5 linked regions of the Mus musculus genome follow. The protein of the gene in region 5 purifies or fractionates together with the protein of the main gene of each other region. This does not show direct contact. Links are inferred from orthologs where the notes say so. Each region holds a gene or a part of one and is shown on either strand. Other genes may lie near its edges.

Region 1 (6,219 bases), on a different chromosome or scaffold from region 5:
ATTTAAAGAGCAGCTATCTGCTTGTTCCAAACTCCATTTCTACACTAGTCTTTGGGGTCAGAGATCAAATTAAATTTCCTTCAGGGCTCATACAACTAAGTTGTGACCTCATCTGTGTCAGGTTGGGGTTAGATAATAGAATAACTGTATCAGACACCTCATCACTACTGTAAAATCAAACTCCCTACAGAAGCTAACTGAAAATAAGAGGGATGTTAGATCATGTGATTGGGAGGAGGGTTGAACTGCAAGCAGACCTGTGTGCACAGGGGTCTATATAGGAATAGGAAGGCACAGCTTAAAATTCTTGTCTGTGTGTAGTTGGTAATAGTGAAGGTAATCACTAAACTAGCCCCAAAATCATGATTTGCGGGGGAGTTTGTGGGTTGTCAACAGGAACAGGTGAGGACAGCCAAAAGAAAGGGAGGTGGAGAAGCACAGAGAACTAAAGTCATCACTGACCAGTAGAACTGAGAGCCTACAAGAAAAGGGTAACAGCCTAATAGGATCTTTCTCAACCAGAGAGATGATCTCCACACTTAAGGATGTCTGATTATGTCTGGTGATACACAGCCTTTGTTGTGATGGTTGCCACCATTTTCTAGAAGTAGAGATCAGGGAACAGCTTAATACCCTAACGTGCTACTTTTTTTCTTTTCTTTTTTTTTTTTTTTTGAGACAGGGTTTCTCTGTCCTGGAACTCACTCTGTAGACCAGGCTGGCCTCGAACTCAGAAATCCGCCTGCCTCTGCCTCCTGAGTGCTGGGATTAAAGGCGTGAGCCACCATGCCCAGCTAAAGTGCTACTTCTCACAAGAAAAAATTGCAGTAGTGCTGAAGTCTGACATAGAGCCTGGTACACCTGTATCCTGTACTCCTAGCATTTGGGAGGCTAAGGCAGGGGGATCATCATAAGTTCAAGGCCAATCTGAGCTTCATGTTCAGAATTGAGACTCTTTCAAAAAAACACCAAAAGAAACCCTGGCCGGTTCAATGGTTTTCACATACATGTTTGTCATCAGATTTCCTTTATATTAAAGATTGGGGACACTCAATGAATTGGTTATCCCAAGATACCCTCTGAATAATTCCACTATATATGCATGAAAATGAGAGTGAAGATACTGCAGAAAGTCTTGATTTTGTGAAACCTCCTGAGAGGGTTTCCTGAGCTGATAGCATGTGACCACAGTTTGAGGATCTGCCTGGTGTTTAAGGACACAGCTCTGGAACTAGGTCTGCCGTGCTATGGCACATCCTAGCTGAGGACAAATGATTTCACATTTCTGGCTCTCAGTTTCCCACATTGTTACTCATGGGCCAAAAACAATACAGTTATCTGCTACCCAAGGCTACTATTTAAGTCCAGCAAGTCACTTAAACTGGACAGACTCAGTATTTGTTATGCTTCCAACAAACACACAGATTTGTCTGGTAACTCTAGTTCAGGAAGCTGAATGTTGAAGTGCATGCCTGTATTCCATCACTTTGGAAGCTGAGGAAGGAGGATCAAGGCAAATCAATTGCCAGCCTGGGCTTCATAGAGTTGGAGGAAATTCTGGGGCAATTTAGCAAAGTCCCTGTCTCAAAGATAGAAAAGACAGATGACACACAGACAATCACACAGAGAGCCACACCCTAGTTCAGGCTCTCAGGAGATGATAAACTATTTGAGAAAAAAACCTTTTATTTCATGTATATAAATGTTTTCCCTGTATTCATATATGTGTACCTTGTCCATTTCCGCTGATCCTCAGGAACCTGTGTTATGGATGGTTGTGAGCCACCATGTGGGTTCTGGGAATTGAACTCTTTCTTCTGCAGGAGCAATGAGTGCCCTTAACCTCTGAGCCATATCTCTAGCCCATACATTTGGTTTTGATGGATGAGAAAGGTAATTCACGTTAGGCTAACAAAAATGCCGCTTTCATAGTATGGGTTTGCAGTTAAAGGGGCAACTATTTGCCCTAAGCATCCTTTGTGAGGCCCTAAACACATATTTGCTCATTTTGGAAACCTCTGGCCTCCACCAAAGGACCATTTCACCTGGTGTTAGAGAATTCCACAAGGCACTAATGTCTTAGTTCCAAACAAGAGAGTTAACCCCTGGTATTGGTTGCAGAGACCACAGACCACCACCCAATTTCCGCCAAATGGTGACGTTTCCAAGATGGCAGTAGCCCCCTGATTGTTGGGGGGCTCTGCTTCCGTTTCCGGGACAGAATCCGGAAGTGCCAGTTGAGGGTCGTCTTCCTATCTTCAGTTGCGTCGGCAGTTGGAGGAGGACAGACGGTGATGGCGGCGGTCGCAGCGGACCCAGCTGCAGCTGCCGTCCCGGCCTCTGCTGAGGACCGAGACACACAGCCCGAGGCAATGCCAGACCTGGATGAACAGTGGCGCCAAATCGGGAATGGGCGAGAGCGTCCACTGCGAGCTGGCGAAAGCTGGTGAGGCTGGGCTTCAATGAAGCCTTGGCCAAGGGGACCTTGGGGGCGTTAGTATCGCGGGGTACTTAGAAATCAAATTCTGAGGATGAAGCGGTGCGAGGCTGGGAAGGGGCTTGGGCCGGCGGGAGAGAGGGGGCGTGGAAGTGCTAAGTGAATGAATCTCAACGTTTGGGGGAAAAGGCGGGGCCCGAGTGGGGCAGTCAGCCGCCTAAGGACAAAATGGGGTTTGTGATAGGGGTGGGGCGTGAAGGGGATGGCCGTGGGAGTCAGGGGACTGCATCGTTTGGGGAGGGGGTGAGAGGGGACTGCGTCTTGGAACCTGGAGCCTGGAAAGGAGGCTGGCTCCGTACTTAACGCGGGGGCGTGGCGTGTGTTACAAAACGTTGCGTCGGTTGCAAGGAACGGCCTACAAGTACTCGAAGCGCCTGTGAACCCGACGAGCTTGGTGGCGTCCGCTGAAGAGCAACTCCATAGCCTATAGCTGTGGGCCGAGGGGCGGAATAGTGTGGTATGGGGAGGGTGCCTGGCTCCTGGGAACAAGGCGAAGGGCTGGGGAGGGGCAAACTGTGGAGGAGGGGCAGTGCCTGGGGCAGAAAATGGCGCCTGCAAAAGAGCAAAGATTGTGACGCGGTATTTTTTTTTGTTGTTTTTGTTATTTTTTTAATACCCCTCTAGTTAAGGTCTCCTTCCTAGAACAGGAGAAAGTGCAGGTGGTTTACAAAAGATTATTTGGGGAGTTTTTTTTTCCACGTGATAATATTTTTGTAATCAGAAATGGCTATTTAAAAGGGATCCACAGCTTTTAACAAATTGTCTTGTTAGACCATTTTTTTTTAAATGCTAATCAATGCCTCTTAAAATTTACTGCTCCCCGGGTTCCTATTTCTCTCTTGAGTTGCTGCTCATTTTTAATTGTGAAAATCGTAAGACCTACAAAGATTATAGTATAAAACGTTTTACATAAATGGACATCCTGCTGAAAGAAATGGTTTGTATGCTTCAAAAATGGCAAGGTCATGAAAGGCATACGCTGAAGAACTGTTCCAGATTGAAGGAATTAATGCAGTTTAACAAGTCTATGCAACACGTGATCCTCATTTGGATCTAGCACAGGAAAAATAAATTATTTTTAAAAATGAGGGTTCTTTCTCATAATTTATTTCTCTTTCACTGTAAATTTTATTGGAAAAAAAATCGGTGAAATTTGACAAAGGCCAGTAGATAAAATACTGGTACTGATAATTTCTTGTGATAATTGTAATGTGGTTATGAAAGAATATCCTTTGGTGAAAAAATACATACTGAAATTTCATAGATAAGGAGCCATCGTGTAAACAACTTACCAAATAATTATATTAAAAATGCACATGGGAGGGAGAAGATTATGGAAATATTGGTCATAGGATGTAAAATTTAGTTAGACAAAAGGGAACAAATTCAAGAGCTCCCTTGTACAAAATGGTGATTATAGCTAATAACACTCTATTCTATACATGAAAATTGCTTAATAGATTTTACATGTTCTTACCCAAACAAACTGTGTGACATAATTGGTTTGTTAACTAGTTTGATTTAGTGTTTTACAATGTATATATCAAAACATGCTGTATACTATCAATGCACACTTTTTTTTGTCTAGTTTAAGATAAATGAAAATACCCCAAAGATGATATGGGGAAAAAAAGAATAGAACAAATGGATAAGGTGTGTTAGATTTGGGGACTCTAAGGGCATACAGAGAAGTCTTTATATTATTCTGCCCTCTCTTTTTAGAGGCAGGGTCTCTATTATGTGGTCCTGGCTGTCAGGGAAGTAACTATATCAGGCTGGCTTTAAACTTAGAAATCTGGCTGAGATTACAGGCATACTCCACCATGCCTGGCTTTTTAAAAACCCATTTTCAGTGAGTTTACTTCAAAGAAAATTTAGTAAATTTTATATGTGGATTAATCACTCATGTGAAGATTCAGAACATTACCTTAAAACTCGTATGCTTTTCCCCTCCATCTTCATAGGAAACTGTTATCCTAAATTTTGAATTAAAGGGCTCTTTTCACATTTCATTATCATAATAAACTTCCAATATTCATATATATGTGAATATACACATATATATGAACATGAGTGTTTGTGAAATAGACTGTGAGCCCTTATATTCCATGGTAAATAGTATCTGTATGATGTAATTTGATACATTAACCTTGACCTGTTGGTCTGCCAGGTTTCTCAAGTGTTAAGATGCTGCTGTTCCCTTAAGCAGTAGTTTCTTAAATACATATTTAAATTTTATTTATATTTTCTGTCCATCTGTACCTCAGGATATCCAACAGCTTCTTGTTTCATGCAGTATAAATGGTAAAGTCCTCAGTGACCTGCAAGGCTTTTGGAGACTGGTACCCCTTCTCCATTCTAACATTTCTCTGATCTGATTATCAGCCCCCAGGCCCTTCCTCTCTCCATCAGGGACACCCACATTAGACTATTGCTGTTCTTTACATTTAGGGCCTTTTCCAGGTTTTCCCACTTTACAAAGTTCCTAAACAACACTGCCAGTGAAATGTGTATACATTACTGGGGAGATAAATTACAATTCCCATACTAGAGGATATAGTGACATCTTTCTGCCATTATATCATAGTTCTCCAGCAAAGACTGGCCTCAATCCGTCCTGAAAACAAACAGTAACCAGACTGTTTGTATAACTCATTTGGAGATGTCCAACAGTTCTCAAAGCTTTGGTTCATTCCTCTTTCCTACCTTGACAGATGTGTCATTATTTTTGCTATTGGTAGATAACACATGATCCTGTCATCCTTACCAATGGCCTTTTAAATTAGCCTGCCAGGAGAGGACCTTCTTTGGGGTAAGGAAAATATTTTGGAAGTAAGTAGAGGTGGGTACACAACATTGTGAATGTACTAAATGTTAATGAATTGTTCACTTTAAAATGGGTTAATTTTATGTTAACTTCACCTCATTAAAAAAAATTACCACACCAGTGTTGGTTGAGTATTAAAGCCAATTTGTTTCTCCTGTTGGAATTGTTATGAAGCATTTTGCCAAGCTCCACTTTTTGTTGCTCATTTAAATTAGGTAAGAGCAAAGGATCTCAAAGTTTGCTGCCATAGTTGAGAAATACGTATTTATAAAGCATTTGAATTCAAGGACTAGCTTCAAATCATACATCTGTCAGTATTAGCTGTACCTCCCATCCTTAGCTTAATAGCAGATTAAAACAATTCCAGTTAAGTAACTCACTCATCTTTACTGATTAAATTTCTTAGATGCATTTGTTTGGGGGTGGGGTGGAGTACACCATGTGACTCTGTGCTGGAGGAGGCCAGACAACCACTTGCAGGAGTCCGTTCCCTCTCTGTATTTCCTGGGGGATCAAATTCAGGCCAGCAGACTTGGTGGCAAGCACCTTTACCTACTGTACCATCTTACCCACCTTCCACCTTATTTTTTGATACAGGGCTTTTTGAACCCAGAGCTCTGTTTTAGACTGGCCAGCAAACCTTTAGTATTTTGTCTCCATGGCCCCCTCAAGTGTTGAGATTATCACTATGCCAAATGTTAAGTTTTTTTAAGACAATGTTTCCCCTGTAACTTTGGCTGTCCTAGAACACACTTTGTACACCAGGCTGGCCTCGAACTCACAGAGATCTACCTGCCTCTGGCTCCTTAGTGCTGGGACTAAAGGTGTGTACCACTGCCACCTGTCTTGTGCCAAATTTTTTGCTCAGCTTTTTTTCTGTAGCTGTGAGGATCCA
Region 2 (5,789 bases), on a different chromosome or scaffold from region 5:
TTTGGTCTTGGCCTTCTAGGGCCAGCCAAGCCAGGTGAAGTCTTCATTACTCTGTTTTGTTCCCCCCCCCCCCCTGTAGTTGAGACTCCTCTCCGAGTGGATGTTCAAGTGTTGAAAGTGCGAGCAAGACTGCTGCAGAAATACCTGTGTGATGAGCAGAAGGAGCTACAAGCACTCTATGCTCTCCAGGCCCTTGTAGTGACCTTAGAACAGCCTGCCAGTAAGCCAGGCTGCAGGGGTGAGGGTGGGACAGAGGGGCTGCCAGATAGAAGCTGGTCATGGAAGGTACTCAAGCCAAGAGAGGCGGGGGAAAGAGCAAAATGCCATGGTGATTTGATTGTTACTTACCCTACCCTCTGCTTGTTTCCTTGCCTACAAATGGAGTGAGTTAATCTAAGCCTGGAGGGTTGATTGCCTGCCCGCTTTGTGCTTGACCAGTAGATGACAGCAATGCAGAGGTGATAAACAGTAGCATCTTTCAGATACCATGTGCCCATCTGTCTGATACAAGGCTGAAGTGCTTGCCTGCCTTTTTGGTTTTTTCTAAGACAGGGTTTCTCTGTGTAGCCCTGGCTGTCCTGGAACTCACTCACTCTGTAGACCAGGCTGGCCTCAGATATCCGCCGGCCTCTGCCTCCCAAGTGCTGGGATTAAAGGCGTGTGTCACCACCGCCCAGTGCTTGCCTGCCTTTTTAATAGCTATTAGGGATGGATTTATCTCCCTTTCCCACATTGGAAGATGGGGGCTTATGACTGTGTATGAGGTTTACAAATTCAGGACATGGGCATGCTTAGGTGTTAAAAAACTGTAATGAGCAAATAGAGCATGGTTCTGTGCTGGCCTGGAGTCAAAGCATGAGTGTTGGTAGATAGCTCTAAGAGATGATGGGTGTGGGTTGGTTACCTGTGCATAGAGACATGGAAAGCGCTACTGAAGGAAGTGCTGCAGTCATGAACAAGAGGGAATGAAGAAGTAGGGGTGAGGGGCCAGATACTAAAGGCCAGGTGAGTACTGATGGGGGTCTTGCACAGAATAGAGTAAGGATTGTAAGCAAAGAAAAGAATTTGAGGTGAGAACAGTAGTGCCGTACCCTGTGATCACCAGAGGCAGGGAAGAAGATCTCTAAGTGCAAAGCCAGCCTAGGATGATTAATTAGACCCTGTTTTAGAGAATGATCCCTACCCCAGCTGGTCATGGTGGCACTCAGGAAATGGGAAAATGGGTTTCTGATCAAGACAACCAAGGCTACTACATACATTAATAAAAAACAAAACAAAAAACAGTACCTAAAACATAAGTACCTTTAAAATGCTGTCAATTAGCTGTTTACTTCTATTTTACAGTGGAGACTGGCTTGCTTGGAATGGGATTGCCTCAAGATAAGAGCTCTGGTAAAATGGAGAACACAGATAGGGCAGGGGCCTGTGAGCAAAAAAAGTTTGGTATAGGAAAATGGTTGAAAATGCTAGATGCTATAGTGTGGCAGGAGCCTATCTAAACATTAAAAACCTTGAGTATTTAAAACATCGACATCGGCAGAGACAGGCAGATTTCTGAGTTCAAGGCCAGCCTGGTCTACAAAGTGAGTTCCAGGACAGCCAGGGCTATACAGAGAAACCCTATCTCGAAAAACCAAAAAAAAATATAAAAAAACAAAAAACATCGACGTCTTACTATCAAGCTACAGAATTTGATGGAGTAAGTAGGGGTCCAAAGTTCTGAATTGGAGAGAACTGAGATAGTTGTCTGAGACAGAAAAACAAGTACAAAAATCTTGTTTAGCTGTGGGGTAGTTAAAAGGTTGTTTGTGGCAAGATTGGACTTAACAGAAATGTGGTAAATGTGTGGGGCAAAGTAGATAAGCAGGTGTACAGGGCTCTCTGAGAAAGCAGATGGCTTTGGAGCACAGTTGTGGGATAAGTGAAGGATCAGCTCTACCCAGAGATGTGGGAAACCCAGAGGGATGAACCCAGGCTTGAACTTCCCGTAGTTAGTAAGCTAGCTTATCACCTTAGAGCTGGCCTTGAGGTCCTGTGCTTCACCTAATGGAGTTTGTGAGGAATGGGGTGGATGGTGTTCTGGGATTGCATTGTAAGACAAGCACCAACCGGGCGTGGTGGTGCTCGCCTTTAATCTCAGCACTCGGGAGGCAGAGGCAGGCGGATTTCTGAGTTCCAGGACAGCCTGGTCTACAAAGTGAGTTCCTCCAGGACAGCCAGGGCTATACAGAGAAACCTTGTCTCGAAAACTAAAAAAAAAGAAAAAAAAAAAAAAGACAAGCACCTCAGGGAAACTGCTGTGATGGCTAAAGGTTCCTGGGGGATTCACCAGGAAGATGGGATGGTAAGAGAAGTGGGCAGAGTGGAGCATTCTAGAGGCCAGAGAGGGTATGAGTATGTGGCAAAGAGGCTGCCAAAGTTTGTCTCGAATCTGTCTGTCATGGACTCAGTGCTGGACCTAGAGTTGAACCTAACTTCCAACTATTTATTTCTTTAGTCAGTCTTTTGTGATGCAATCTTAAGTAGTCTGGGCTGGCCTCAAACTAGTTAGGTAGTTTAGGCTTACCTTAACTTTGATCCTCTTGCACTCTATATTCCAAGTAATGGGATTCCAGTAACGGGCCTAACATTTTCCCTTTCTTGTTTTTATTTTGGCTTTTTTTTTTTTTTTTTTTTTTTTTTTTTTTTTTTTTTAGTATAGCCTCAATCTGTAGACCCAGGCTGGATATATCATTATACCCAGCCTTCTGTCTCTTTGTTCTCTTGAGACATGGTCTCACTTGTGTAGAACTAGCTGGCCTAGAAAATTTTATTGCAGACCAGGCTCCTCTCAAACTCTTCCTCCTGAGCAATGAGATTAAAGGTTTGTGCCACCACACCTGGCCTCTGTTTTTCCCCTTTTCAGTTTTGCTAAGCTGCCAGAGTTGGCTTTGAGCTACTATCTTGATCTGCCTCAGTCTTCCAAATATTTGTTTCTAAGGATTGCTAGTCTGTCATGAGATTAGCATTCTGTCGCTGAGCACCAGGATGGTAGATCACGGTTGTGTTTAGCAGTGTCTTTTTGGGAGGGATCTCCGGGTGTAGACTGCTAACGCTTTGGCTAGTCACCTAATTGATGTCCTTGTGGCTTGCAGACCTGCTTCGGATGTTCTTTGATGCTCTATATGATGAGGACGTGGTGAAGGAAGACGCCTTCTACAGCTGGGAGAGCAGCAAGGATCCTGCTGAACAGCAGGGCAAGGGTGTGGCCCTTAAATCTGTCACAGCATTCTTCAATTGGCTTCGTGAGGCTGAGGACGAGGAGTCTGATCACAACTGATGGCGGGTGGGGCAGGGGACTTGGAGCCATGGACACGTGGATGGCCCAGCCAGCCAGCCGCCTGGACTGCAGGGGGGCGGCAGCAGCAGTGGCGGCAGTGGCAGTGGGTGCCTGTAGTGCGATGTGTCTTGAGCTAATAAAGTGGCTGATGAGGCAGGATGGCTTGGGGCTGCCTGGGCCCCCCCCCCCTCCAGGATGCTGCCAAGTGTCTCTCTCCTCCCCCCAGGGCACAGAGATATATATAAAGTCTTGAAATTTGGTGTGTCTTTGCGGGGGGAAGGGCACTACCGCCTGCCTCTAGGGTCCTTTTTTATTTTCTGAAATCACTCTTGGGACTGCCGTCCTCGCTGCTGGGGGCATATGCCCCAGCCCCTGCACCACCCCTGCTGCTGCCTGGGCAGGGGAAAGGGGGGGGCACGGTGCCTGTAATTATTAAACATGAATTCAATTAAGTTTATTGCCTCTTTACTGACCTATGGATCATCTTTCTTACCAGATCTGGCCACTGTATCATTGATACTTGCTTGTTTACCTGTCAGAAAATTTTGGGGACCTGGGGAATTGCTTTTCTGGAGGGTTGAGATCTTTGGATCAGCTTGACACAGTGATGAGTGCTGTAGTGTACTTTTGCTCCTACCAGATTGATCCGAGCTCTGAGCTTGAGACCCTTGTAGAAGCCCTAAATGAGATGTCCTATGTAAAATGACTGCATGGTCTACCGGCTTCTGTCAGTATCGCTCCGCAGTGGACTGGAGATGCTGTGAGACCCAGGCTGTCACTGAGTGGCTGTGACGTAGGCTTGCCCCGCCTGCTCTGGGTGGGCACGGCCCCGCGCTTACGTCACCGGCCCTGTTCCCCTCTCCCGGGAGCGGCAGCAGACGCGCTGCTCCCACCCCCTCCCCTTCTCACAAGCTGTCCCCTCCCTGGTGGTGACCGCGGCCCGACCCTCTGCAAGGCGATGGCCCGGGTCCCGAGCGCGGGCTAGCGTGCCTGGGTGCCTTGCCATGGGCTGTATTGGCTCTCGGCGCTCAGCCGGTCAGGGTAAGAGGTGGAGGCCGGAGCATGGATAGGGAGTCGGGCTACATAGCTGCCAGGTGGGGCCGTGGGTGGTAGGGGCGGTGAGGAGGGGGCTGGTATAAGGAGAGGGAGGAGCCTGCGTCAGGAAGGCGGGTTGGGCCAGAGGAGCGTACGGCGAGGGGGCTAGCCGACTCTGACTTGTTCCTGTGGCCTGCCTGCTACTGGGATTTTCCGTGGTGTACTCACCTTCTGCCTTTTGCCTGTATTCCTGCTGCTGAGAGTGGCTGCGGGGGCACAGCCTGGGAGCCGCAGGCCAACCTGCGGCCCCCACCTTCCCGGGCTCCAGGCAACTAGCCTTTTGTATATACATACTTCATTGCCTACACCTACCTCTCTGATCTCAGTGTCTTAGGAGTGGCTCTTTGCTGTGAACCTGCCTCTCCTACCTGGGTGCTCTCATCCTCAGGAGTCAGTTTGCAAATGCTGGCCAAGTACCCCACCGAACGCTAGTTTTTGCCTAACACTTGCTCAGAGCGTCTCCCAGCTGGTTGATTAAAGGGTCGGAAGCCCCAGGTGGAGCATCTGTGAGCAAATTGATAACCTCTCACGCTCACAGATAATTTTATTCCTATTACCCCCCCCCCAAACAAAACAAAACAAACAAACAAAACAAATCACACTTATTCCGAGCAGAAAAAGTCCAGGTCTTCCTATAGCCGCTGAGCCCTGCTCAGGCCTTCTTTTCCATGAAAACATGTATGTGGTCGGGGGCGGTGGGGTGAGGAGAGAAGCACTTTAGCTCTAGGTCAGCCAGCCTACCTCCTGTGTCAAGGAATTAGTTCGGAATGGGTCCTGGGATCTCCAAGCAGGTGGTCAATCACACAAAGCATTAGTATGGTTGATGTTTGAGGTCTTTTACAAGTAAACTCTGGCTGAAATGTGGACTTCCCTTAAATTCTGGGATTTGTAGTCCCAGAAATAACCTCGTGGGTTATGAATTTAAGAAGTGGCAAGGCAGCCGGGCGTGGTGGCGCACGCCTTTAGTCCCAGCACTCTGGAGGCAGAGGCAGGTGGATTTCTGAGGCCAGCCTGGTCTACAAAGTGAGTTCCAGGACAGCCAGGGCTACACAGAGAAACCCTGTCTCGAAAAAAAAAAAAAAAGAAGAAGTGGCAGGGCGCTCTGACTCCTGGTCTGCACGGAGTTCAGGAAGTCATCCTCTCCTGTAGTCAGGGAAGAGTGTGACTGACCTCAGGACTGGCCTTGAGTACCAGGTAGGCGTCTGGCATAGCCAGTAACCTGTTTTCTTTCTGGTTGGTAGCATTTCTGGGGACCACCAACTGGCTGAGGCCCAGGGACAGAGACGTCTGCTCCAGCTAAAAGGTTAGTTGTGATGTACGTGGCCAGTTGGCACTGTGTAAGCTAAGATGAGCCTCAGCCCCACAAGCCAGAGAA
Region 3 (5,632 bases), on a different chromosome or scaffold from region 5:
AGACTATGAAGACACCTAACCTTGTATTTTTCCTAGGACTCCTCAGTACTTGGCAACTTTCTATAGGACACAACTACAGTTAACTGAGAATCTATCAGACTGTCATCTTACAAAAGGCATGGAAGCCACTTGTCCTAAGGTCACATAGCTGACAGTGAAATATGACCAAAGCAAGAAAAGACAAAAAAGGTCTGTCACAGATATCACAACTAGTAAAAGCAAAAGGTGCTAATTACAAGAAAGTTTTATTCTGGCTACTACAAAAAGAACTGGCAGTAGGGGAAAATGGCAAAAACCAGTTAGTAGGGCAAGGCTCAAAGGAACAGAAGTAGGTAGATTTAAAGATCATCAAAAGGCAGATGAGGGCTGGAGAATGGCTCAGTAGTTGACAGCATATATTGTTCTTGTACCATGTCAGCTCATAACTAACTGCCTTCATTCCATTTCCAGGAAATTTGATGCTCTAGCCTCCAAGGACATCTGCATACCCATATATAGGTGTGCATTCACATGTAATTTAAAAATATAATGAATTTTTTAAAAAAGGAGCCGAGATAAATGGCAGACTTAACATACAGGCTAAAACAGAAGAAAGGAGAGAACTCCTAATTTACACATTTGAGACAGCAGGTCATAAGAGGAGGTGTGTACTTGGAAGAGTGTCAGTGAGCACTCCCAGAAGAACAAAAATGAGCTCCTAAGTATGACCCCATGGACAGCAGTTGTGTGGACATTTAAAAAGAGTAATTTTTATGTAAAAGCCACTGCATGGGCACAAAGAAAAAGGCCTATCTCTTATCTATCTATCTATCTATCTATCTATCTATCTATCTATCTATCTATCTATCTAAAAAGAATATAGTACAACTATCATTTAGCCCAATAATTTCACTTTTTACATGTAAACAAATCTATCAAACAAGTCACAAAACATCGTAATTTTAAAACTAGAATCTTACCTGGCTTGACAAATGGTCTCCAAGGACCAGGTCTTGCATCATCACCCCTTCTAGGAACCCTATCATCATCCATATTTCTCCAAGGCCCTCGGTCATCATCTGCACCTCTCCTGGAAATCCTATCTTCAGCAGCATTCCTCCAAGGTCCTCGGTCATCATCCAGCCCTCGCCTGGGACCCCTATCATCATCCATGCCTCTCCTGGGACCCCTATCATCATCAGCATTCCGCCAGGATGACCGTTCATCATCAGCACCTCCTCGTCTTGGCCCCCGGTCATCATCCATCCCTCGTCTAGGTCCTCTGTCCTCATCTGCTGTACGCCAGCTTCCTCTCTCATCATCCAGTCCCCGTCTGGGTGGTCTGTCGTCATCTGTGTGACGCCAGCTTCCCCTGTCATCATCACCAATTCGCCTGGGAGGCCTATCATCATCTGCATTACGCCAGGAAGGACGGTCATCATCTGTTCCTCTACGAGAAAATCTATCTTCATCGGGACCACGTCTAGGCCCTCTGTCATCATCCAGGCCACGCCTGGGGATACGATCATCATCCGGTCTAAGAGAAGACTCTCTCTCTTCATCGTCACCCCCCAAGCGCCTCAGCCGATCCTCATCTCTCCTGTGAGGCCTCTCATCATCCCGAGTTTCTCGTCTCCACTCCCTAAGGAGAAACAAGGAACAGCTTTAAAAACAATATGGACCCTTGATTTCACTATTTCTTACAAATCGCCAAGTCTAAATTCATTAACTCTGGTCCTTTAAAAATGTTTTCTAAATAAAAACTATGCAAAATTCAGTATCTTAAATCAATATAGACTAACAACCAGATAATAGTCTTGAAAAAATTACCTATATATTTTACAATGAGCTTCCTCTAAACTTTAATTTCTGCATATTTTTAAAGCCACTGTTCCCGTCTATCACTAGCAGTTACCATAAAAAATAGTCAAGAACTGAGCAAGTAGCTTAGTAGTAGAGTGCTTGTTATGCTGTTACCAACCTTGAGTTCTATACACATTACTACAAAGATTAAACAAGCATGTAAATCCAATCCTTGGGAGGTAGAGACAAGATCAAGGTCATCCTAAAGCTACAAAAACCCTCGACACAGGCTCAAATAACAGATGCATACAATTCTTAAAGAAACCTCATCACCTTTTCTTCTACACGCCTGATTTGATTTTAAATCCCAGACACTAATATCTAAGACAAAGTGCACTGATCCCACAAGTCTACTTACTTTTCTGGTGGGCCTCTTCTCCACTCAGAGTCAGCTTCTGGTCCTTTCCTCCAGGTGCCTTCTGAATCTCTATCTCCCCACCGAGAGTCCTGTGGACAAAGCAAAAAGGCACATAGTAATAAAAGTTATAATTACAACTACTGGAGTTACTACCAGTCAAGCACTTCATTATTTAATTAAACAAACCTCAAGATCCTAAAATAAGACTCTTGGTCAAAATGAGGCGCTGCAGCTGTAACTTCAGGAGCTCAAAGCTAGCCTTGGCTGTGTGAGATCTCATACCCCACAGAAATAAAAACCTAGGGACTGGAAAGAGTTAAGTGTATGTACTGTTCTTCTGGAGATCACAGTTCAGTTCCCAGCACCAACATAAGATGCTCACAACTATCTGTAAACTACTGCCCCAGTGAATCCAGTACTCAGCACTCGTGCACATCCCCCATGTGCATAACTAAAAATAATCTACTGAAATATTATTTTCTGGAAAAAAAAATCAATAAACAAGCAGTTTTGTTTAAAGAGCAAAGCAATAACTCAGAGCTGCTGAAGCACAAGCTGACAGCTATAACTGGTGAAGAGGGCTCATTACGTTTGTTTGCTTTTCTCTAGGAAATGAGTACAACCCAAATGAAGCAGAGACAGAAGAGCAGATTTAAGGGACACACATGTTACCATTATGAAAACGGTAGCATATCTAAAGTATAGAAAGAGATTATGACTGGGGAAACAGTTTAGGAATCAGTAATGACACATGGTCTAATTTAAACTGAATTATGGGCAACAAAACAATTAGAAGAATTCAAGAGATGAGAGAAACAAGTCATTTTTGCATACAAGTAATATCAAGAAGTCTAATTATATCGTTGTACTATACATTTTGAATGAAGTTAGAATGGACCCAGTTATCTCTCCCAATTGATGGAGACACTGAATACAAACAGATCTTGGTATCAGTAGTAGTCAGAGAAATCAGGCCACAATAGTACAAGAAAATTCACTGGTATATTTACGTGCAATTAAATAAATGCACAAGGTCTGGGAAGACAGCTCAGTAATAGGGGATTTGCCAGATAAAGTCTAGATTCACACTCCAGTATCAAAGAAAAAACAAAGAGAATAACGTCTATACTCACCTTCCTAGAAAGTGGATCATCACCAAGTCTCCTTTCTTCCTCTCTGCGCCTTTCCCTTTCTTCAATTTCCAGCTCTCTTTGCCGCTTTTTCCTTTCTACTTCTTCTAGTTTCTTGACTCGCTCCTGATACTCTCTAAGTTCTTCCTCCCGTTTTGCTCTCTCAGCACGTTCTCTTTCTTCTCGCTCTATGAAAATTTGTCAGGTTACTCAAATGTGCTTCCCACCCATACTCCTATCATCAGAGTTGCTTTTCTAGTATAAAGCAGAGATGCACTCGTTTTAGAAGGTAATAATATTAAAACATGACCAGCAATGTGACCAGCATTTACACATAATCTATGTATTTAATCCTCAGAACCTATATAAAAATGAAAAAACACCTGATTCTTCAAAGTTAGCCTCTTCTACACATCATACATACCCAATAATTTAGAAAAACTTAAATTTAAAGTAGATGGGAATCAACAAATAGTGATTAAGATTCAAAAAAACAAACAAGAGCCCCAGTGCCCCTAAGAAAAAAAACCCACAAGTAGTCCACCATGATTAGGATGGCCCTACACACTAATTGTGCTTTTGTTCAGTCACACAAATCTAGGCAAAATTGGGAGGGAAGAATATCAACCTAGGAACTGTCTCTATCAGACTGGCCTATAGGCATGACTTGACTGCTGATTGCTGTGGGCAAAACCATCCTTGGGCAGATGTGCCTAGGCTGTGTAAGAAAGGTAACTGAGCAAGTCAGAGGGACTTATCAAGGAAGCAGCTTTCTTCTGTGGTCTTTGTTTCAGTACCTTGAGCCCCCTGGCAGAAACTCTGGCTTCCCTCAATGATGGACCATGATATAGAATCCAAATAAACCTCTTTATCCCCCAAGGTGCTTTTGGTCAGTGTTTTATTGCAGCAACAGAAACCACACTAGAACAAATTCAACCGAATATATAGGGTTCCAGGTGTAGAACCACATATGTAATTATCATTAATGACACAGGTTCTAAACCACCAACAGGAAAAGTATAAAAATATGTAGCTATAGATTGATAGAGGAAGCAGCACCAACATATTCAAAGCACTGCGCTATCTGATCCCTTGGTTTTCTAAATAAGATTGTGAAACATGGTACCCACACCTATGCAGTTTAATGGTTACCATAGTTACCTTTGAGCATCTGCTCCTCTGCCCTCCTCTGCTCTTCTTCTTCCTTTTCTCTGTAATAAGTTATTTTGCGTTCTTCTTTCCGCTGCCTTTTCCGATCTTCTAGGCGACTATGCCTTTCTTCTGCTAAGCGCTCTTCAAACTGTTTCAGTTTTTCCTGCAAATTCAACAGTTACCCCACAGGCCATTTTTTAAGATAAACATGAATAACAGTTTTACACTTGGAAGTTCATGCAATCTGAAAATCACAGAAAGTGGCCACCAAATCAATACAAAAGCAGAATCTCTTAATGGGTTAAGAAATACTGTGTCATATTTGTTAAATTTTGAATTATTAGTATTATCTACACACTGGACTAGTATCACTGAGAGCTGAGTGCTTGCCTGGCACATGTGAGGTGGGTAGTTTCAACTCCCAGTTCCACCCCCTACCTCAAAAAAAGTCACATTTTACTTATAATAAAGAAACTGACTCAGAACTTTTAACAACAAACTATCTTCGATATAGCTCATTTCTTTTTTAGAACTCACTACAAAGACCAGGCTGACCCACAACTCAGATCTGCCTGCCTATGACTCCCAAGTGCTATTATTAAGATAATGTACCTAGATGCCTGGCCGTGATCTAATTTACTTATGAATCAAATAGTAAAAAATAAAACTTAGGAAAAGGGCTGGAGAGATTGCTCGGCAGTTAAAAGCATTGACTATTCTCCCGAATGTCCTGAGTTCAAATCCCAGCAACCACACGGTGGCTCACAACCATCTGTAATGATATTTAACCACCTCTTCTGGTGTGTCTGAAGACAGTTACAATGCACTTACATATAATAATAAATAAATCTTTAAAAAAGAAAAAAAACTTAGGGAAAAAAAAAAGACTCTAGAGGTAGCTATCTGGTAGGCCTGAAATTCCATCCTGCACTGCCCCCAAAATCCCACACTTCAAAAAGATCAAAAAGAATAAACTTTCATCTTTGAAACACTTGAAAAGATTAAAATATCTCCCAACTCATCTATACAAATACTGAGTAATTACCTGTTAACCTTTAACCTGTGTTAAGGGAAAATCCTCAAAAGAAAACTAGAAGTTCACAAATTAAACTTTTCCCTAAACAAAACAAACAAAAAAAGACCCCATAGT
Region 4 (6,269 bases), on a different chromosome or scaffold from region 5:
TACTAGGACAGCCATAGCTACACAGGGAAACTCTGTCTCAAGGAGAGACAGAGAAAGTGAGAAAGAGAATGGGAGAGCACTATCTTTGAGGAGCCATGGGTCTCAACACTCAGGGCTTGAGAGCCATAAAAGTACTTGGTGGAGGGTTACAGTGGATGCTTTGTGTGGGGCTCCTGGCAACCTAACCTAGAGAAGAAAGTCTGTTTCCCCAGCACCTACAGCCATGATAAGTCTCTGGCTTCTAGAACCCGGAGCCATAAGCCTTTCTCAAGATTTGGATCGAATCCAGACACTGGGGCTTTGGGCTCTCAAAGGTCTGGGCCTGCCAGTCCTAGAAGAGACACTAATTAAAAACTAAGTATCCTTTAGCCAGGCTGGTGCATGCCTTTAATCTTAGCACTCGGGAGGCAGAGGCAGGCGAGTTCGAGGCCAGCCTGGTCTACAAAGTGAGTTCCAGGACAGCTAGGGCTACACAGAGAAACCCTGTCTCTTAAAACAAAACAAACAAACAAAAAAAGTAAATTAATTTACTTAGTGGGTACCTAGCACATCAGCGCCCCTGGCCCCAGTCAGTTCTCTCCGTCTACAATATGAGTTTGCAGGATAGAACTCAATTGTCAGGATTAACAGCAAGAAATGATGAGTAGATCATAAATACTTCTGAGTAGATCATAAATACTCAGCCAGGGGCTGGTGAGATGGCTCAGTGGGTAAGAGCACCCGACTGCTCTTCCGAAGGTCTGAAGTTCAAATCCCAGCAACCACATGGTGGCTCACAGCCATCTGTAATGAAATCTGACCCCTCTTCTGGAGGGTCTGAAGACAGCTACAGTGTACTTACATGTAGTAAATAAATAAATAAATAAATCTTAAAAAAAAAAAAAACCTCAGCCAGCCCAGTACTAACTTATCCATCAGCCCGTGTTCACATGTTTTGTGGTTTAGTCTTTATATCGCACAGGCTGGCATGATCTTTCTGCCTCAGTCTCCCCAGTGCTGGGATTCCAAGTCTATGCTTCCTGGTCAACTAACAGGTCCTTTAAAAAAAAAAAAAAAGGAAAGTTTTGTTTGTTTTTTCTTAGGAATGATCTGGGACCAGAGAGGTGACTCAACTGTTTTTGTTGTTGTTTTGTCTTTTAAATTAGGCTCAACAGTTCAGAGCATTGCCTGCTCTTCTAGAGAGCCTGGGTTCTATTGCCAGCAACGACATGCGGTTCATAATTGTCTACTCTAAGTCCTGCGCGTGATACGATGCCTTCTTTCGGCCTCCGCTTGTACACGGTGCACAGACAGACTTGCTGGCAGAACACTGATACGCATAAAAAAAAATTCGAGTTAAGAGATGGTTGTAAACTACCATATGGGTACTGAGAGCGAAACTTGTGTTCTTAAGCTCTTAGTCCCCTCAACTAGTTCTTATTAAGATTTTCGAAACTTTGAACTGGAAGTATCAAAAATCTTGACTATCTTTTCAAGCAAACCACTCTTGGGGTCCCCCTGGTCACTCCACGAAGGTTCCGTCCCGTCCACCCCACGCTGGCCCACGTGATCGCGCTCTCCCGCGCGTGAAGACCGCAGTCACCGGCAGACAGAATCACAGTGACTTTCACGTCTGGGGCCAACGCTAAATTGCGAGCCGCTGCAGTGAGGATGGCCATTGAGATTAAAGCCGCTCATCACACGACTCTGCATTGTGCGGGCAGTCATTCTTGTGTGTGTTGGCGGCCCCTGGTTGTCGGCGAGCTCCTCGCGTAATTTTGGAACCCTTCGTTCTTTTGCCCCGTCAGTGGACCGGTCTAAAATGCAAGACCTTACGGGGGAGCGAAGCCAGTCATGTCAGTCAAGCAGTCTGTCTGATTAAAAGCAAAGCTTACAAAGAATCATGTGTGGAGCTTTCAGTTGTCTTGGCATTATTTTATGGTCACATATTTTGTCTTCATACAGTTACGCGTGTTAATCATTTGAGAATCCACTTGATGCTCCCCAGATAGTACAGTCCTTCCCCGTAGCGCCCGCTGGGAGAGGCAAAGGAACTTCTACCATCTTGGACGCAACTATTTCTTAGCTAGAATGGGGGAGCCACATATCCTTGTGAATTTATTTGCTACCTTAAAAAACCTTTTGGGCTATAAATAAACTTGCATATCTTGAAACTTATTATTTTAATTGTTTCTAGATTTTTATGCATATCTGAGTTTTCTCGGGCTGATCGTGAGGAATGAGGGCGTGGGTGTCTCCCCCGAGCCACATCTTGGTACGATCCCATCGCTGCACGCACATGGCTCCGCGCTAGCGGCGCGCGGTGACTTCTGGGAGTCGGAAGCAGGGCGGCCGAGCCGGGTGAGAAGCAGCGCGGGCCCATGCAGGACGCTGAGAACGTGGCGGTGCCCGAGGCGGCCGAGGAGCGGGCTGAGCCCGCGAGGCAGCAGCCGGCCTCCGAGTCGCCGCCGACGGACGAGGCGGCAGGGTCTGGGGGGTCCGAAGTGGGGCAGACGGAAGACGCCGAAGAAGACGCCGAGGCCGGACCGGAGCCCGAAGTGAGGGCCAAGCCGGCGGCCCAATCCGAAGAGGAAACGGCGACGAGTCCGGCCGCCTCGCCCACGCCGCAGTCGGCGGAGCGGTCCCCGTCGCAGGAGCCCTCTGCTCCCGGGAAGGCAGAGGCCGTTGGCGAGCAGGCCCGGGGGCACCCCTCGGCTGGAGCGGAGGAGGAGGGCGGGTCTGATGGGAGCGCGGCTGAGGCGGAGCCGCGGGCTCTGGAGAACGGAGAGGCAGATGAGCCCTCCTTCAGCGACCCCGAGGATTTCGTAGACGACGTGAGCGAGGAAGGTAAGGGCGATCGTGTCCCCGGCCAGGGCGCGAGGTCTCCCGGTTACAACGATCTTGTTTCCTCTACAGTGGGGGACCATTTGGGGAGTCCGTTTCTGCGGCAAGCCCTTGCACCTGGGGGTTGGTGGAGGGCAGGACGAACAGGACTATCTGGGGGCATTCCAGTTTCCTGGCCAAGGGTTTCCAGGGTTGACCAGTTGCTGTGTTCCCAATGGTTTCCGTAGTAAGGCATTGCCATCGGACCCAAGCACATTACCAACCTGCTTCCTTTTACTAGGTCGGTACCCTGGACCATTGCTTTTTCACATTGTTCGTTTGGCCGCTTACTTCATGATTTCTTCTATGGTGACTGGCTTTTTAAAGGCATTGTTTCTGTCTACCTGCACAGGAGCCAGATTCCTAAAATCTTTTTTGACAGTTGATAGCATGTGTTCCTCTGCCGTTTCAACTTCACTTGAGCCAGTTCCTTCATGTGTTGGTGTGGCTAATACCAAGGGCCAAAGGGCCTAAGAACACCACTTTTTTTTTTTTTTTTTTAAACGAGACAGGGCCTCTCTATGTAGTTCAGGCTGAAATTGAACTCTTGGTTCTTCTCAGTTTTCACGGTGCTGGTCCTACAGACATGTACTCCCAAACAATTGCTTTTGAACTACCATGAAAATTCAGCGCCCCAATATAGTTGTCAACTTAGAACTTACAATATTTCAAGAGGTCGTCATTTGATGTCACCATTGTTTGACTTAATCCTTTTGTATGTTTGTGGGGGTTGTTTTGTTTTGTTGTGAAACAGGGTCTGGCATGGTCCAGGCTGGCCAGCTCTTTATGAAGCTGAAGCTGTCTTTGATCCCCATCCTTCTGCCTCCACTTTCAGATTGCCAGGATTTGAGATGTGAGTCACCATGCCTGGCTTATTTCTTGAAAGATGGCTAAGAGTGAGAAGCCGATAAACTAATGTGAGGAATCTATAGGCTCCAGCCTTGAGGACGTTTATCTGGGTAGAGCAGGTTTCTGGGTTCCCACTCTCGCCCGACTCCAGTGCTTGCTAATGTACCTGTTTTCCCCATGTTAGAGCCTAAGCTTTGACTTTGAAGCTCCTTTTGAATCCTTGGTTCCTTTGGCTATTTTGGGTCTGGGCTGTCCCTGTCACTTCATGGTTTCAGACAGGACCTCACCATTTGGCTGGGCCAGCAGGCCACGTAGGTCCTTGTACTTTTCTAGCACTGGGAATGCGGCTCCGTGCCCCTCCAGCTTTTTTGAGTTGGGTGCTAGCCTACAGGAGTGATCTTACCTCAAGTCCTGCTGCTCGCCCAACAAGCGTCTTTTGAGCTAAACCATTTGCCCATAGGCACTACCAGCATCTTTTCCCCTTTTCAAAGGTCTGTTTTGTTTTGTTTATTTGTTTTTAATTGAAATTTTGCACAGGATCATTTTGCCCGTGTGTCTAGTGCCCATGGAGGCCATTGGATGGCTCTCTTAGAACTGGAGTTTGAATTAGAATTGGTTGTAAGTACTGGGAAGAAAATGGGTCAGTCTACTGCAAGATGAGTATTTAAAGAATATTTGAACCCGTTTAATTCACAGATTCCAGTATGTATATTATTTCCAGAATTGGGGATTATAGGAGTCAGGGGATGCTGGCTGGTGTGACTGCAAGGCCAGCCTGCCTTCAACAAGTCTGCTAGGAGCCCAGTGGGTCCCGTCCAGTGTATGCAGGGAAAGGGAGAGTAATGAGAATCTGGCCCTTAATGGTTGGAACTCTTAAGGCCATCTGGCTTTGGGCATCAGGGTGTCACAGTGTCATCAGGGTGAGAAGAGAAACAGCCTTTTGGTTTCTACCAGGAGGAGCAGTGTGGAATCCTCACATCAGTATATGCCTCCTATTCTGTTACTGATAATGAACAAGTTGTTTTCTCTAGTGTGCTGTGCATGCCAGCAGTTCAGTACTTGGAAGGTAGAGGTTTGAGGTTAGCCCTTGCTACATAGAGGGTGCAGAGCCAGCCCGAGGTACTTGGGACCCTATATCACAAGACAGATAGAAGGGGGCTGAAGAGATGGCTCAACACTTGCTGTTCTTCCAGAGCACCTGGGTTTGATTCCCAGCTCCTGCATGATGGCTCACAAGTCTCTGTAACTCAGGAGTGATCATGTGGTACACATATACACAAAAAACATTTATACATGTCACAATAAAGTGTAAAAAACCCAAGCAAATGGAAAGAAGCAGTGTGTTGCGTTCTGAGGATATTTTGCTCTGCGCTTCTCAGGAGAAGCAGATGGTTAGTTACAGGCTAGGAGCACTTTGAGCTCCTGGGAAGGAGTCTAGTCTGTATGGAAGCTGGGCTTTTCTTTATTGTGTCTTGTTAAGTTTAGATCCAGCTTAGCAGGCTGTTTAATTGTATGGTAAGCAGGCTTTTAAAGGAACCCGGAGTTTCTGTAGTGAAGGTGTGTGGCATGGCTGTGTTGAAAATCTGCCTCTTACCTCCTCACTCCTTGCCTGCTCTTGATTCTGGCATCTTTGAAATGTGTCTTAATTAAGTTTCTTTTGCTGTGACAAAAGCCACTTACGTCAGTCCATCATCCAAGGAAGTGAGGGCAGGAGCTGATGCAGAGGCCATAGAGGAGTGCTGCTAAGGCTCGCTCAGGCTGCTTTCTTATAACATCCAGGGACACTAGCCTGGGATGGCACTGCCACAGTGAATTGTGTTCTCTCATCCCAATCATCAGGCAAGAAGTTAACCCACAACCTCGCCTACAGGCGAGTCTGGTGGGGGCATTTTCTCAAGTGAGGTTTCCTTCTCCCAGGTAACTCTCGTTGTGTCAAGTTGACATAAAATTAGCCAGCACGGAATGCAATGGACTAGTGTGGTAGAACCGAGGAGCTGGCGCATGCCATGCAAGGGTTCTACCAAGCCGTACTCCCAGCCCACCAGCAGTGACCTGAAAAAAGTCATTTGGTGAGTTAGTTGGTGCTGAGCATTTGTGTCGCCGTCAGGACAGTCAGTGTTCAGGAGCTGGTTTTCTCCTTCCGCAGTGGGTTCCAGAGATTGAACTCAGGTCCTCAGGCTTGTGTGACAAGTGCTTCTACACACGGAGCCTTCCTGCTGGCCCAGAATTGCCTTTTATACTTAAACATACATTACTCATTTATTTATTTGTATCCCCCCCCCTTTTTTTTACATTTTACTTTGTATGTATTTGCCTGCATTCATGTTTATGAACTACGTGTGTGACTGGTATTTGTGGAGACCAACAGAGGGCATCAGATTCCTTGAAACTAAGAGTTACCAGTAGCTGTGAGCCAACAATTGAGCCTCAGTCCTCTGCAAGAGCAACAAGTACTCTACAATGGCTGAGCCATCTGTCCAGCTCTGTTGTTTATTTATTTTTTATTTTATATGAATGGGTGTTTTGCCTACATGGATGTCTGTGTAGCACAGGTATGC
Region 5 (5,632 bases):
TGGGCCTGGCTATTTATTAAGACTGAGCAGCTAGGTGTGGTGGTGCGCTCACTCTGTCTGTTACAGGGTACTCTAAATGTGTAAGGCTAGCTCAAGGGATACATCGTGACTGTTCTGTATTTCCCATGTAGTTAATTCCTATTTTGTTCCCTCAGCCTATTTTCACCTCAACTTGATGCCAGCAGCTGAATATACACAACTTTGTCAATTGCGTTGTGATATCACTCATAAGGAAAACCTAAAAGCTTTGTGGTGTTTTGGTTGGGTGGGTGGGTGGGTGGTGTTTGGAGTATGAGCTCACTATGAATCCTTGACTGGCGTAGAATCCATAGAGATCATCTGTCCTGGAATGCTGAAATTGAGGCTTGCGCCACCCAGCCTGGCCTTGGTTTTGGTTAGGGTATATATGTTTCGGCTTTGTGTTTCAGACAAGGTCTCCTGTTGCCCTATGTGACCTAGACTTGATATTTCAGACAAGGCTTATCTCAAGCTATCAGAGATCTGTTCACATCTGCCTCCTTAGTACTTGAATTATAGACATGCATACCACACCTAGGGCTTCATCAGTCTAGCCAGTTTTCTTTCTCCATTCCTACCCCACCCCCCAAAAAACTTATTGCAAATTGACTACTTTGTGTGTGGCCTCTTTTATAATGAAAACAGGAAGTTTTATATAGCTTATATATTCTCTAAATGTTGAAACTAAATACAAATTCAGGGACCAGGACTAGGATAGTTGTTTTTTTGTTTGGGTTTGGGGGGAAGACAAATCTTGAGGAAGCCCTGGTAAGGTGGTATGAGCTGTAATTCCTGGGATTGGGAAGTAGAGACAGGAAGGCCTCGAGCCCCAGGGTAGACACACACTGTCTTCACAAAAGCAAAGGTGGGGAAGGGGCAGAGCACACAAGCCCCGCCCATGTGGGAGTGAGAGCTGTCAAGAGTGCTTAGCGTGTTGAGGTAGAGAGGATCCTGGTCAAATGCTTTACCATCAGATAATTGTCTTCACTGAGTTTTGTTTTCTGTATATAGAACAGTGTCGCAGGCTTCTCAGGCTAAAGTGTTTTATAGTAAACATGTGAAGGATTTGGTTCATAGATTCCTTAAAGAGTGAAATGAGAGAAAGCAGTCAAAGGCCTTAAGATCCACAAAATAGACCTTGAGTACTCCTTACTTTCTGTTTTTTTTTTTTTTTCTTTGTTTATGTGTAATAATTGTGTGCCTGTTGGATCCCAGCCACCATATGGGTGCTTGGAAATTAAACCTGAGACCGGCAGGAGCAACAAGTGCTCTTAACTGCTGAGCCATCTCTTCAGTCCCTCTTTTTTCGATCTTGATTATAACACCTTAGAAGTATTTTCTTGTCTTTTGCTTCAGTGGCACAGCCTTGTTTTGACTTGGCTTGGTGTTGGCATGAATCTCTGGCTCTAATCTTATATGCATGTGGATCTGTGGGAGTTGGTTTGAAGGATTTTGCTTTTTCAAGACAGGATTACTCTGTGTAGCCCTGGCTATGCTAAGACTCACTCTCTAGGCTGGACTAGCCTTGAACTCAGATGTAAAGGTGTGTGCCACCACCTTCCAGCATGTGCTTTTTAATACAGAATCTCTTTTTTATAGTAGTGACTGGTCTGGGGTTCACTGTGAATATTGGGCTGGTCTCAGACTTTGAGCCAGCCTCTACACTATGACTGCTGGATTTTGGGTTGTTTTGAGATGGTCTTAGCCTGTAACCCGGGCTGGATTTGCTCACATTTATCCTACTGTCTCAGTTACTCAGGTGCTCTGCCATGCTTGGCTTCTTAATTTCCTTTTGTCTGCTCTTCTGTCCTAGTGTCAACAACTTGGCATAGTAACGATGATGACGTGTACAGGGCGCCTCCAATTGACCGTTCCATCCTTCCCACTGCTCCACGGGCTGCTCGGGAACCCAATATTGACCGGAGCCGTCTTCCCAAGTCGCCACCCTACACTGCTTTCCTAGGGAATCTGCCCTATGATGTGACAGAAGACTCCATTAAGGATTTCTTTAGAGGATTAAATGTAAGTGTCTTTTTGTGTCAAACTGTGGGATATTGAGGATAAAAGCTAAATAAACCGATTGTGGGATGGGCCACAGAGGAAGGCAACAGAGTCCAAGATGCAAAGAATACCTTAATTAATTTTGTTTTAAGGGTTAAATTACTATGACTTGAACAGTGTGGGCTATAGAGTAATTTGTCTTCTGCCCCTCTACCCATTTTTCTCCCAGGTTCTTATATGTTCTTTGGAGAAATTACTTTTTGTTTGGGTTGGTTTGTTTGTTTTTAACCCTGTTTTTTTGTTTGTTTGTTTGTTTCTTTATTCTCTCAGATCAGCGCTGTACGCTTACCACGGGAACCCAGCAATCCAGACAGGTTGAAAGGTTTCGGCTACGCAGAATTTGAGGACCTGGATTCTCTGCTCAGTGCTCTGAGTCTCAATGAAGAGGTAAAGAAATTAAGAGGTGGGGTGAGGGGGTGGAGAGAAAGCTCAGCCTTTAGGAGTACTGGCTGCTCTTCCAGAGGACCTGGGTTTAATTCCCAGCGACCACATGGCAGCTTATAGCCATCAGGAACTCCAAGATCTGACACCTTCCCCTCAGACAGACAGGCAGGCAAACCAATCACAGAAAGTGCAGGCGAAGGATGGGCAGTCTTTGTTTATCAACCAAACCGAGTCCCTCCTGATACCATTTCAGGTACAGTGATTGCAATGGAATTTTAGGGAAGAAACCCAACATACCAGATTTCTAATGAACCTATTTACTACTTTATGTCAGCTCTAGGGTTTTACTTTTTAAAAATAAACTGCCTTTATAAATGTAGAGAGAAAAGTTAACTAGGTTCTCTAAAGTGTATCTTTTCGGGGCTGGGGTATTTAACTCCAGAATTTCATAGTCTGAATCTACCATTTGGTATAATTGTAAATAAGCAGCTCTTAGAAATATTTTCATTGAATAATGATTTAAATGCCTTAGTCTGTATCAGATAATGTTAAATAAAATTCACTGGTAGAGCCAGATATCCATGTTGGTGCTCAGCAGTTGGTCAGAGTATTTAAAAGGTAATTAGGAAAGGGGAAGTCAGAGGAACTAAGCTCTGAGTTGAGTGAAAAGGCCTGGAGAAAGCAGTCCTCAGTGTGCCGCTGCTGTGTTGTTGGCCTGTTGGATTGAATAACTAGCTGCTTTGGTATTTTAATTGTCCTTGTTCTTTGGACGCTGGGTCTTCCTATAGATCCTAGGCTGGCCTGGAACTTGCTTCCTGAGGGCTATAATTACAAGCATGTTAGCTGATTGAGAATTGCTTTCATTACACTAAATTGAGTTTACTCCGGTATATGAAGTTAGCTTTCGAAAAATAGAGTTAACTTTATATTAATCTAACACCAACTTTGTTAACTCTAAATTTGCTTCAAATTTTTCTTGAAGTTCTTGAGTTTTGTGTTATGTTTGTTTGGTTGGTTTTTCGAGACAGGGTTTCTCTGTATTGCCCTGGCTGTCCTGGAACTTACTCTGTAGACCAGTCTGGCCTTGAACTCAGAAATCCGCCTGCCTCTGCCTCCCAAGCGCTGGGATTAAAGGCGTGCGCCACCATGTCCTGCTTCTTAGAGCTTTTTAAGCTAACAAGGGTCAGTTAATAGGATCCTATGCTCTCAGTCTCTAGGTAACAGGAGAATTCGTGTGGATGTTGCTGATCAAGCACAGGATAAAGGTAAGAAAACTGGTAGAACTTCCCAGTTTGGTGTAGTGGTCCTAGGGAGGTAGTGAGGCTAGAATCAGTTCTCAGCCTGCTTTGTTCCATGGTAACTTTAGGCAGTATTAAAGGAGATTTGCCTCAGTCGAAGGGACTACTACTGATACCTAATGAGTATAATCCAGATTCATCCTATCTCCTTCCGATTTCAAACCACCTACTATCCTTGGGCTGTAAATTTATAATTAGATTTGCTACCTAGGAGCTTGAGCTTTAGTGTGATATAGATAAACATTAATTAAAATACATTTGAGGAAAAGAATAGATCGGTTACCTGGAGAGAGCAACCTCAAGGCCTGGCCTTGGGATGCCAGTGCAATAGAAACCGTAGGTGGGATGTGAGGGACCATGTGAGAAGTAAGTGGTGTCTTGGGTGAGCTAACTTGTTTGGTTTTCTGTCTACAGACAGGGATGACCGTTCTTTTGGTCGAGATAGAAATCGGGATTCTGACAAAACAGACACAGACTGGAGGGCCCGTCCCACCACAGACAGTTTTGATGACTACCCACCTAGAAGAGGCGATGATAGCTTTGGAGACAGTAAGTTCAGGTTTTTTAATTGTTTCTTGGGTCTGTTTGATAATGGAACGTTAGAAGTTGGGGAACAACTTATAAAGTCTGGTTTCTATGGAGTTTTTTGGGGGGAGTTATTTTGATAATAAGAATTGTTGACAAATGCAGATAAGAAATTTGATAAGTTCCTAATTTTAAAAAATATTAACAGAAAGTACAGGCATTTCTCTTTGAACACAATTGTTTATAAAGAATAACTGAGGCAGAAGAGGTAGTAGCTTGGTCTCAAATGTTAAAGTCCTATCAAACAAGCAGTGGGATCCTAAGTTGGATTCCTAGTCTCCCTGGTAAGAAGACAGATGTGGTGCAGTGAGGGTGGTAGCTCTAGAGCCTACTGACTTGTCAGTGGGTCTATCTACTTCAGGTCACAGAGAGACCCTGACGCCAAGCAAGAACAACACAGACCTACATACACACAGACATGAAACCTACAGCAAAAAGCTGATGCTTATTTAAACTCCACCAGTGAGATTCCATGTGGAACACAGCCAGGAACGGCTATGTGACTATAATTGTGCTTAGCTTTTAAAGGTGACTTTCAGAAAACGTAAGATTGATTCACTTAAAAATACAGTGACTAGGGCTGGAGAGATGGCTTACAGTTAAGAGAACTGACTGCTCTTCCGAAGGTTCTGAGTTCAATTCCCAGTAACCACATGGTGGCTCACAACCATCTGTAATGGAATCCGATGCCCTCTTCTGGCATATAAGTGTACAGGCAGACAGCACTTTAAAAAGTTTAAGTAAATAAACCTGTTTTTAAGAAAATATTGACTGTACTTTGTGCTGAAGAAAGTATACAAAGAACCTTTTCACTGAACACTGGCAGCAGCAGGAAAGGCTGGGCAGTGCTGTGAGAGTGAAGGTGAGATGCAGCCTTGTGTTTGCCTGTACTGGGTTGTGTTAATACTAAGTTTGTTTTTGAGGTGGTCTCACTATGTAGTCTTGGGTGGTCTGGGACTCAAGAGATCTGCCTGCATTAACCCTACTGTGTGTTGAGATTAGGGTGTTATTTTTTTGTCAGGTGTGGTGGTGCATCCTTTATTCCCAGCACTCAGGAGGCAGATGCAGCTAGAGTTCAAGGCCAGCCTGGTTTACAAAGCAAGTTCACGTACAGCAAGAAGGGAGGGAGATAACGTGGAGGGAGTGTGTAGTCGAGAACAGGATCCAGAGAGGCCAAAAGAAGGCACTGGATACTTGACCTATGAGCAGTGTGCACTCTTTAAGAGTAGAGCCTTCTCCTTAGCCACTGCCAGATTTTTTAAAAACATTTATTGGTTGCCTAACCA

Evidence for each region.
Region 1: the proteins of Eif4b (region 5) and Usp11 purify together in Homo sapiens (affinity purification with western blotting; 3 studies listed by BioGRID, with this or other methods). This does not show direct contact. The link is inferred for Mus musculus from reciprocal best matches to the Homo sapiens genes EIF4B and USP11.
Region 2: the proteins of Eif4b (region 5) and Eif4g1 fractionate together in Homo sapiens (co-fractionation; 4 studies listed by BioGRID, with this or other methods). This does not show direct contact. The link is inferred for Mus musculus from reciprocal best matches to the Homo sapiens genes EIF4B and EIF4G1.
Region 3: the proteins of Eif4b (region 5) and Eif3a purify together in Homo sapiens (co-immunoprecipitation; 3 studies listed by BioGRID and IntAct, with this or other methods). This does not show direct contact. The link is inferred for Mus musculus from reciprocal best matches to the Homo sapiens genes EIF4B and EIF3A.
Region 4: the proteins of Eif4b (region 5) and Eif3b purify together in Homo sapiens (affinity purification with mass spectrometry; 3 studies listed by BioGRID and IntAct, with this or other methods). This does not show direct contact. The link is inferred for Mus musculus from reciprocal best matches to the Homo sapiens genes EIF4B and EIF3B.

Annotation. Positions count from the first base shown.
Region 1 is NC_000086.7:20,701,674-20,707,892, forward strand, and holds the start of Usp11 (ubiquitin carboxyl-terminal hydrolase 11), read left to right. Parts: upstream 1-2,235; 5' UTR 2,236-2,294; coding exon 2,295-2,446; intron 2,447-5,238; exon of another isoform or gene 5,239-5,309; intron 5,310-5,315; exon of another isoform or gene 5,316-6,219.
Region 2 is NC_000082.6:20,689,113-20,694,901, forward strand, and holds the end of Eif4g1 (eukaryotic translation initiation factor 4 gamma 1), read left to right. Parts: intron 1-79; coding exon 80-220; intron 221-3,134; coding exon 3,135-3,319; 3' UTR 3,320-3,771; downstream 3,772-5,789.
Region 3 is NC_000085.6:60,765,375-60,771,006, forward strand, and holds part of Eif3a (eukaryotic translation initiation factor 3 subunit A), read right to left. Parts: intron 4,646-5,632; coding exon 4,492-4,645; intron 3,519-4,491; coding exon 3,334-3,518; intron 2,290-3,333; coding exon 2,201-2,289; intron 1,622-2,200; coding exon 960-1,621; intron 1-959. UniProt on the Homo sapiens protein: RNA-binding component of the eukaryotic translation initiation factor 3 (eIF-3) complex, which is required for several steps in the initiation of protein synthesis.
Region 4 is NC_000071.6:140,417,001-140,423,269, forward strand, and holds the start of Eif3b (eukaryotic translation initiation factor 3 subunit B), read left to right. Parts: upstream 1-2,304; 5' UTR 2,305-2,360; coding exon 2,361-2,826; intron 2,827-6,269.
Region 5 is NC_000081.6:102,082,330-102,087,961, forward strand, and holds part of Eif4b (eukaryotic translation initiation factor 4B), read left to right. Parts: intron 1-1,831; coding exon 1,832-2,040; intron 2,041-2,349; coding exon 2,350-2,466; intron 2,467-3,673; coding exon 3,674-3,728; intron 3,729-4,175; coding exon 4,176-4,310; intron 4,311-5,632. UniProt on the Homo sapiens protein: Required for the binding of mRNA to ribosomes. Functions in close association with EIF4-F and EIF4-A. Binds near the 5'-terminal cap of mRNA in presence of EIF-4F and ATP.